2 linked regions of the Drosophila melanogaster genome follow. The protein of the gene in region 1 interacts with the protein of each later gene in a pairwise test. Each region holds a gene or a part of one and is shown in the gene's direction. Other genes may lie near its edges.

Evidence for each region. The genes of interacting proteins can lie anywhere in the genome.
Region 2: the proteins of CG2930 (region 1) and Taf7 interact in a two-hybrid assay, tested with the Drosophila melanogaster proteins (one large-scale study listed by BioGRID).

What each region holds. Positions count from the first base shown.
Region 1 is NC_004354.4:3,874,047-3,879,356, forward strand, and holds CG2930 (uncharacterized protein), read left to right. Parts: upstream 1-1,719; 5' UTR 1,720-1,754; coding exon 1,755-1,788; intron 1,789-1,855; coding exon 1,856-2,196; intron 2,197-2,268; coding exon 2,269-2,347; intron 2,348-2,408; coding exon 2,409-3,412; intron 3,413-3,581; coding exon 3,582-4,571; 3' UTR 4,572-4,771; downstream 4,772-5,310.
Region 2 is NT_033777.3:7,905,480-7,910,238, forward strand, and holds Taf7 (TBP-associated factor 7), read left to right. Parts: upstream 1-1,853; 5' UTR 1,854-2,018; intron 2,019-2,082; 5' UTR 2,083-2,145; coding exon 2,146-2,340; intron 2,341-2,404; coding exon 2,405-3,649; 3' UTR 3,650-4,242; downstream 4,243-4,759. Other genes in the region: EMC1 (ER membrane protein complex subunit 1), read right to left, coding at 212-232, 306-618, 702-848, 939-1,581, 1,649-1,743; Prat (phosphoribosylamidotransferase), read right to left, coding at 4,490-4,759.

The sequences.
Region 1 (5,310 bases):
CGTATTTGGTTGCTCCATGCGGAGCAGAACCCGGTCGAATTGGATGGGGCGGTGCCGATATGGGGTCGTAATTGCCGCTTCGAACGGAACAAGACAATCAAAGTTTTGCTCACTACCGAAAACATCGAACTTATCTATCTGACAACTTCCATTGAATAATTCTGTTTCTTTGCCGCCGTAAAAAGCAATTGTAATTAAAACTGGGCCAAAGCGCCAGCTCCTGCGGCGCTTATCATTTCGCTGGACCAATAAACATCGCGCTCGTTCTAATCGCTTGTAAATCAGTTGGAATGCTTTTAGACCCTCTTCATGGCGATTATGTATGTTATTGGGTAGGTGTGAAATTTACAACCTATTTGATGGCCAATCGATGAACAAACCGACGATTATGCGATATCAATGCCGATATGCAATGTCATTAAAGAATCACTCACTACTATATATAGCCAATCCAATTATGTTCATCCGTTCTCGAATTCCAGAAGAATTTCTCTGCATATCACAGTTAGCGATAGTTCAACGCACATCCTAACCACCTATCAATCAATCAATCAATCAATCAATCTATAGGTCCCAGGGCTCTTAGAGCTTAAGTAAAGAAATCTTGAGAAAGTGAAATTGAGAACACTTTCACAGCACTTTCCCTCCGAAACTTTACAACTGCACTCAGGGCATACCAGGCTTATCTAATTATTTATAGGTAAAGCCCTCAGTGTACTCATTTTTCAATTAGCTTGTTGAAAATTACGGAGTATCAGCGACTCCGATTGGTCTACGGCTTTTATGGAGCCCAATCGAGTGGATTGAGTGGAGATCCGTCTGGAGATCAATTTTCCGTCCTTCGGTGACACTTGGCCAGTTCCCTGGCACTAAACACTACGCTATTAGCGGCTGCAAAATGAATGAATGAATGAGTGGTTTTGAGTGTGAATGTGAGTGGCAGGCCTGGTCTACCAACTTCAAACGGCCACCGAAGCGGGTCAATGCTGTACACGTCTGGTACTTGTATATTTTGTATATCTCTGTTTCCCTGCGATAAGGCGCTTTATGTTAATGGATGTTTGATGTGAAGTGTAGTGCGTGCAATAGCATTGTTTCCACGGTTTATGGAGCCATGTGATGGCTGCTATACATTACTGCCTCAAATAGCGGTCATAAACGCTGATAAAGCATCGATGGATTAGCTGCGAACCGATTCTGGATCGCAGTTAGATAAGGCCCATTCATTGGTCGCCATTCGGGACTTTCGCAGTTCGCAGTTCGCTTCCTGAATCATCAACCATCGAACAGATACAGATCCAGTTGTCCGAACATGGCCATGACCATGACTAGCTGCACTAGGCACCAGCTGCAATTACCATTCGATCCACATGGACATGACCATTAAAGCTCCAGCAGACATTTAGACGCAGCATTGTCAGTAATCAGCATGTTGTTTATGGCGTGGAAAGCCATACTCCCAGCCAGTTTGTCAAAGTGTGGAGGCGATCGCCGAGAGAGCTATCTTCCCTAGCTGGGTTATCTGACGCCCGCCACTGGCGTAAACCTCGTAAAAGCTCGGGGCCTAAGGCTGGATAATTTATGCCGGGCCACCGAATTCACACGCCCGCCGTTGAAGTAAAGGCCCGTTCAAATATAGAACAGTCCTTATCTGTGGCGGAGGTGTCAAGCACAAGGCCACAAGTCTCGGTTTCGGTTTCTGATGAAATGTCGCCGATCCTCAGATCACTAACGAATCTCAGTGGCCATATGAAATGGAGCTGCCGGCGGAGCAAGTACCCCTGCTGGGTGGGCTCTCCAAGTTTTCGATTATTGCATTTCGAATTACTAACCTGGATCCTTCTTTCGTCCGCAGAAATACAGCCAGCGGCTGAGCCTGTGGCTGAACCAGAGCCTTCTCCCGCGGCCGAAATAGCTCCTGCAAGTCCCGATGGCTCCGGTCCAAGTGCTGCCGCTGCAGAAGAAGTCACCCCGAGTGTTGCGACCGTTGAAGACACTACCCCGATTGCAGCCCCTGCAGAGAGTCAACCGTCCGGCGAGAGCAACGGCACGGCGGAGGCCAAGAAGCTGCCCGAGATCGCTAAAAAGAATGGCAAGGAGCCCGACCAGAATGACAAGGAGCCCGACCAGAATGGCAAGGAACTGGCAGAGACCAATGACTTCAAGAACGTCTCCGAGACTGAGGGTCAGCAGAAGGTAATCGTCATTGGTGCTCTTTAACAAGTATTGAAGCAAACACTGTACTTACCTTTTCATTGACACCCACAGAAACTGCCCTACCCCAAGTCCGTGTTCTTCATCATCAGTAACGAATTCTGCGAACGTTTCAACTATTACGGCATGAGGAGTAAGTTAATCGCAAAGTATCTTACAATGAAATCTCTGCTAATCGCTCGTACTCCATTCAGCTGTTTTGGTTCTGTATCTGAGTCGAGTTCTGGGCTATTCTGATGATACCGCCACCGTGGTCTTCCATATCTTCACCATGTTCGTGTACTTCCTGTGCGTTTTTGGAGCCATCATTTCGGACTCTTGGCTGGGAAAATTCAAGACTATCCTGTATTTATCGCTGGTTTATATATGCGGATCGGTGCTGCTGACCCTAGGTGCCATTGGACCACTTAACCTGCCCATGGAAACGTTTACGATGTTGGGCCTGGCGTTAATTGCCCTTGGTTCAGGCGGCATTAAGCCGTGTGTGTCGGCATTCGGTGGCGATCAGTTTAAGGTGCCGGAGCAGGTGAAGCAGATCACTTCGTTCTTCTCGCTCTTTTACTTTTCGATCAATGCCGGATCGCTGATCTCCACCACGGTGACTCCAATATTGCGCGAGGACGTGTCCTGCTTTGACGACATTAACTGCTATCCATTGGCCTTTGGAGTACCGGCCGTACTTATGATTGTGTCGGTGATCATCTTCGTTTTGGGACGATCCCTGTACAAGATGAAGCCACCGGCCGGAAATATGGTGGTGCTTGTGAGCAGTACCATCTGGACAGCCCTGACCACCAAATGTAAGGAGAAAAAGACCAATCCGCGGGAGCACTGGCTGGACTATGCCGATAAAAAGTACGACCGCCAGTTGATTGACGATGTAAAGGTCCTTATGCGAGTCCTCTTCCTCTACCTGCCACTTCCGGTCTTCTGGGCACTGTTTGATCAGCAGGGCTCCCGTTGGACCTTCCAGGCCACCCGAATGGACGGCGACATGGGCTCCTGGGACATCAAGCCCGACCAGTTGCAAGTGCTCAATCCTCTGCTCATCCTAATCTTTATACCGTTGTACGATGTGGCCCTCTATCCGGCCCTGAAACTAGTGGGTATCCGACGACCGCTGCAGAAACTCACCATGGGCGGCATCCTTGCGGGCATTGCTTTCATCATTTCCGGAGTGGTGGAGCTTAGCTTGGAGGTGAGTAATTGTTCGAAAATGCTTGTTGGCTTGGGACTTAAAGCTCTGAAAGTATTTAATTGGGAAGTTTTAAAGTATTTTTAACTGCTGTGCTTATATATATTGTATTGTACTGTACCTGCACCTGCACTTTCCGTTTTTCTTTCGTTGCACGCCTTGCTGTCGTTAGAAAACCTATCCCGACCTGCCCTACAGCCAGAACATCCAACTGCGCATCTTCAACGCGGACAACTGCGACTACTTCTTCACTTCGAACATTCCGGGAGCGGAAAATGTGACGGTGACCTCGTTGAATGCCTATACCAACAAGGATATTTACGCACCCGGTTCGCTGGACGTGGAGTTCTCGCTCAGCAGTGCAAGTGAAGCTTGTACCATTAGCGCTGACAAAATACCTAAAGTCCTTACTGATAATACGGCTTGGTCTCTGTTCCTCAATCCGCTAAATGGTAGTGGATACTACTGGGAGGAGGATTTTGTGGACAAGCCGAGCCAGAGCCATCCGCTGATCCGAAACGTCGCTAATGTGCCGCAGGAGCTGTCAATTCGTTGGGAAAAGGCTAGCACGGGAGAGGTGGTCTATGACGACCTGGCTAGCAAAACGTTGCTCACGCGTGTGAATTCGGCGGAGTATGTAGTCATGGTGGGCGAAAGGAACGTCGGAACATTCGATGTTCACACCGGCGGCGTGTACACACTCCTGATTAAAGATAACAACAACATTTACGAGGCCAATTTGGAGGAAGTGACGAGCCCCAACTCGGTAAAGATCCTTTGGCTGGTGCCGCAGTACGTGGTGATGACCCTCGGCGAGGTGATGTTCTCGGTGACGGGACTGGAGTTCTCATACGCCCAGGCACCACCCAGCATGAAGAGTGTCCTGCAGGCCTGTTGGCTGCTAACGGTGGCCTTCGGCAACGTCATTGTGGTCGTCATCGCCGAGGCCGCCTTATTCGAATCGCAGGCCAGCGAGTTCTTCCTGTTCGCCGGCCTCATGTTCGCCGACATGTTGATCTTCATGGTGATGGCCTACTACTATGTGCCCAACGATCCGAACAAGGTGGAGGAGGCCCAGCCCCTGACGGCGGGTGATGCCAAAACAGAGATTCCCGCTCTCGAAGGCGGAGTCGAGAACAAGGGCAAGGACATCAACGAGTAGACCTCAAACCGATTCGTCCTGCTTGCTCCCGCGTTGTGTATTATATATATATATATTTGTACTTGTAGATGTGTATATGTATGTAAATCCTTAGTGGCCTTTGTCCATTTCCAAGCTAAGTGTAAGTGAAGCTGCGACCGGGCATTGTTGCATATGAAAAGACATCCAACTAGTTAATCTAATAAAAGAAAATTAATAATATAATCCGTCGTTGTTACTATTCTTGTTGTCTCTCTATCTGCTTTAATACTCTTAATTGTTTCTTTTCACCTATGACCTGGATTTTACTCAGTATGATAGTCTTATACGATATCATTCCGGAGATTTCTGGTATTGCTCCGATCTAATATATTAGTACCAGCTTGCACGTATATCTTCCACCCTTGCAGCACACTTACCCATTGATCCCGAGCAGTGGTAATACCCAGCTACGCGTCTTCAGCGGTATTCCCGACTGCGATTATCGCTTTAGTACGAACCTCGGAGCCCGGGAGAGCTTCACCTTAAGGGGGCTGGACTTCTACTATTCGGGTAGCGTGGCCACGAACACCGACGGCATCTTCCAGTTAACATACACCGTGGAAAGTTTAACTGAAGGTATGTTACCACGTTATCGCGATCCTCCTATTCAAGAGAACTTGTTGATGTAAGAACTCGTGAATATGTTTAAAGCCCACCATCCTCTTTGGAGCGTTAAGCTGTCAACACAAATAGAATCACTTCAGTGGTCACAAGGTTT
Region 2 (4,759 bases), on another chromosome or scaffold:
TTACATTGGAAATTAATTATTGGACAGTAAAAAAGTAAAAGTAATACACTTAGCTTTAAACTAGCGAAGCATGCTTGAATTTGTTAGTAAACATTCGTTTTTAGATTAGTGGTACGTTCAATAAACATTAAAAAAAAAAACACAAAATTAAAAGTGATAAACATGTAACAAACAATATTGCATGATTAGTTTGCTGTGAACGTTCACTTACTCTCAAAACTTGTGAAATCCCCTTTTGGTATGAATTTTCAATAATAAATTTTATGAGTTCACCTTAAAGTAGTGCATAAGTCAAGTACACTCACCGGCCTTGCCCTTCATCTCGTTCTCCAATGTGCCCTCAGTATCGGCAAGCGGTAGATCCACAAACTGCGAGTCGATCACATTTGCCAGCGACTCCTCGCGCGACCAACGAACGCGTCCATGCTGCACTGCCACGATGGACTCCGAGGTGCTGCTAAACAAAAACAGACAGTTCTTGCCCTCGCCATTGCGCTTCTGCTTACAGTCGAAGTTGCTCAGCGACGGAGTGCCAAAATGCTCGGGGAATGGCAGACTCTGCTCCAACTCCGCTGCCGGTGCACAGTTATCCAAATACAGAGCATTGATCCTGAGGATCTGTTCATACGCACAGGGAAAGAAACAATTAGTTTTCACATAGAAATAGTAGAATAGAACAGTAAATATAAGTTTAAACGTACTCCAGAGGACAGATCTGCATAGGCCAAGACTTTGCGATAGTTAAAGCTGCCCACGGCGAAGCTGGAGCTTCGCAGATCACCGCAGATCGATTGGTCCTTGTTGACACTAATTGGCTTCCCATCCACAATCACAACACCATTCAGACCCTATAGAAATGTTTGGACGAATTATAACTTCACTTACAACAATCTATTACTTCACTTTCAATAAAAGCAATAGCAAAGTTTTTTCCTCACCGTCAAGGCCTGAGTTTTTCCCTTCGGCTCCGCCTCGAGCGAAGTACGGATTACTTGACCGCTTTTGGAAACGAGATCCAAACTAATCAACTGCTTTCCGTCCGTACAAACGTAGAAGGTGCCGCTAAGGGTGCAGCTCTCTGAGGTGATCCAAGGAGCTATTACCTTGCTGGTGCTGCCAGTGCTGTGGCCCGAGCTGGCGAAATACGCCGTCACCTCGAGGTGGCTCCGCCAGGCAGGCAGCACGTGATATAGCACGGATTTGCTGTAGATCCACATGGCGTCCTGGGCCCGCTCCGTGTTCATGGGCATGATGGACCACTCCCACTCAAGGGCACCCATATTGGTGTTCCAGCCGCGCACCAAAGCAGGAGCGTGTCCCTGAACGGTGAGCATGTCGAAGCCCATGTTGCTGCCCATCGGAGCGGCGGCCGTGTCGCTGCTGTCATCGGCGAATCCGCTCACCTGGAGCAGCTTGACGTCGCCGCGCGGCTTCTGCTCGAGCACCTGCCGCCACACCAATTCGCCGGTCTTTACGCACAGACTGGCCACCACTCCCTCATAGGTGGTGACCAGAATCCGCGGCTGAAAATGGTTGAGGTCGACGCGAGACTGCTTCAGTGCTCCCACATTGACGCCTCGCCTGCAAAAGCCGCACATATCCGCCGTATTAGCGCCGGGTCAATGGTCAGATATCGTACCACACTCACCAGTCGAACTTTTTGATCTGGTCTTCGTAGAGCGCCGAGCAGGTGCCCAATAGGAGCGCCAGCGAAAGTGCGGGCAGTAACCACTTCTCCTGCATGTCGTCCGCCTTGCTTGCTGACCTTCGACTAGCTCGATCTCTGATTGTTCAACTTTTGACGTATTTTTATGTTATAAATTAGTAGAAATCCACATCAATTCGTGTTTTCCGTCATGGCAAAAGGGATGAGAAGACGAAATTGGAGCAGGGTTGGCTGACGATTGCCTTATCGATAGTTCAGCGGACTCACATCCGATATTCAAAGCAGTGCGGCTCATCCCCTTTCAACGTACGGCAAACCCATTCGGTCTTCACCTTTATGATTAAATTTGTTGGTAAAAAGATTAAAAAATAAAATGCCTTGCCATTTTGCGGTATACAGGGCTTATATTTCTGCAGATGCGGCTGCAGTGTGAACCATTTTAAATATTCGTCGTGCTCGCAGCGATAACTGTGACGTGAATGCCATCACTAGCGGTGCCCCATCTAACTCCCATCTCTAATGAGCATTTAGTGTCTTCAAAAGAAGTTGTATTTTTCTGGAAAAATCGCATTGAAATGTTTGAAAAGAAGAGCGACAAGGTTAAGCAAGCGGAGCACAAGGCCCGGGATGATGGCGTAGAGCTGGAGAGCCAGTTTATCATGCGCGTGCCGAAGGTAAGCCATACATAGCACAAACAAACATCACAACAAGCCGTGCAAATTGACGGATTCTCCGCAGGAACTGGCGGACACGGTCCATGAGGCAATAAATGCTGGCACCATTAAGGACCGGCTGACCATCCAACTGGATCCGGATCTGAGGTACGGTGAAGTGCGAATAGATGATCAGATACTGTACACGAAACTCGTGGATTTGCCCACCGTCGTCGAGAGCTACAAGACCATTGACAACAAGAGCTTCTACAAGTCGGCAGACATCTGCCAAATACTCATTTGCAAGGAGGAGCGGGAGGACGAGACGGAAAAGGAGTCGCCCAACAAGAACAAAAAGAAGGACCCCAACAAGGTGGACAAAAAATACCTCTTTCCGCACGGCATCACACCGCCGTGCAAGAATGTGAGAAAACGACGATTCCGCAAAACTCTGAAGAAAAAGAATGTCGAAGCTCCCGAGATTGAGAAGGAAGTGAAACATCTGCTGCGCATTGACAACGAGGCTGTCAGAGTTGACTATGAAATCATAAACGAAGAGGACAAGCCAATGGATGAACTGGAGCAATCGGACATCAAACCCTACAACGATGCGGATGACGATTTGCAGGACGAAAGCACCATGCATGCCAGCGAAAAGACGATCATGGAAATGAGCTCCCAGCGGCACCTCCAAGTGGAGTCCGATGATGACGAAGCCAGCAACTTTCCCTCACACCGGGCGCCGAACATGGGAGTTGCTGTCCACGACATCTTCGGCGAGGAAGTGTCCAGCACGGATGACGAGGATGAGCCCGATCGGGGCAATAACACCATGCAGCGGCGGGTGATGGAGGAATCCTCACGACTCTCGGCTGATGATTCACGAATGTCGGACTTCTTTGGCGCTAGTGGCAGTAATACTGGAGCGGGCGTAGTGAAAATGGAGCAGAACGTGTTCAGCAAGTCTATGTTTGGGCATGAAGCCAGCAGTCCTAAGCTCAGCGCCGCCGGATCAAGCTCCAACCTTGCTGCTCCCAGTGGCTTCTACGATAGCCAAATGCTAGCCAAGCGCGAGGAGTTCGAGAACATGGAATTCATAGACGAACCGCAGCCGCAGTACACGCAGCAACAGGTCCAGCAGAAGATCAATCAACTGACGCGCCAGATTCGTGAACTGAAAGCGCAGCAGGTGCAAAAGTCAACGGAAATTGCTTCCATTCAGAATGCCACACTCAAACAACGAATGCAGGAAACGCTTGATAATCTCTACACACAGGTTATTGAAAGGGAATTGGAGCTGAAGGACTTCGAGAATATGCTGGAGTCTTAAGATACAGATATAATACAAATGGTGGACTAGCATAAGTTATAATAAAAACTATGTACATACATATTCGGATGTTACTTCAAACTATTTACGACTTCAACGCCAGTTTCTGTTGTTAAAGTAAACCTTAGACAAGAAATTTTGCCATATCATTGGTCAACTCATTATTTGTGTAAAATTAAAGTGTTTCCTCAGTATTGATAAGAATGATTATTTGCAAAGCAACAGAGCACGACAATTGAATCTGTTTTTAAGTATTTATTGCAGTGGACTTATCACCAATTAATCATCTAAAATTCAAAAGAATCATATCCGAATGCCTCCAGTGCTTGTGGAACCCATGACCTCCTTAGGAAATGGTGCATTGCCGCACAGAGCAACTGGCCTTCGGACCTTGGAGCATACTGCTCGATATCATGCACGTAATTTCATATCTTCGATAGCTAGAGAGAGAAAATAGAGTCTGTTTAATCAATAGTCTAAGTGTCTTTATTATTGGCATTTGCAAACAACAAATTTTAGTGATATTCAAGATGGGCAACAAAGAGTTATGTATTTTGTACTATGAGTAAAGTTCCAGAGGCAAAACCAGACATAAATCGGTGTCTTTTAGCTTGGGGAAGCACGTGGGCTGCTTACTTAAGATCTAATAAGGTAGAGTGTAAATAGGAATGGGTGGGCTGTAATGCTAGATAAACTAAATGCAAAATTTGTGACAGTAATTCCGAGCCCTCTATGGCTATTTATACTGCAATTTTTGTTATTTCGTAGTGGGCAATTGCGTGCAAAACTGGTTTCCAAAAGCCTTTTTCGTCTTTTGGCACTTATGAGCTTCAATCGGTATCACCAGCTCAACTCATCGGGCAGCCCACCGGGATATTCACCAGTGAGACAGGCGGTGCAGTGGCCCGTTCCCTTGGATTTACTATCGCCTGCATCGCGGTGCTTTAGTTGGACAGCCTCCACTAGTCCCTCCACACTAAGATAAGCCAGACTGTCGGCGCCCACATGCCTAGCTAGTTGGTCGGGGTTCAGCTTGTTGGCAATCAATTCCTCTCGAGTTGGAATATTTATACCCATATAGCATGGGTACTGCAGCGGTGGGCTGGCAAT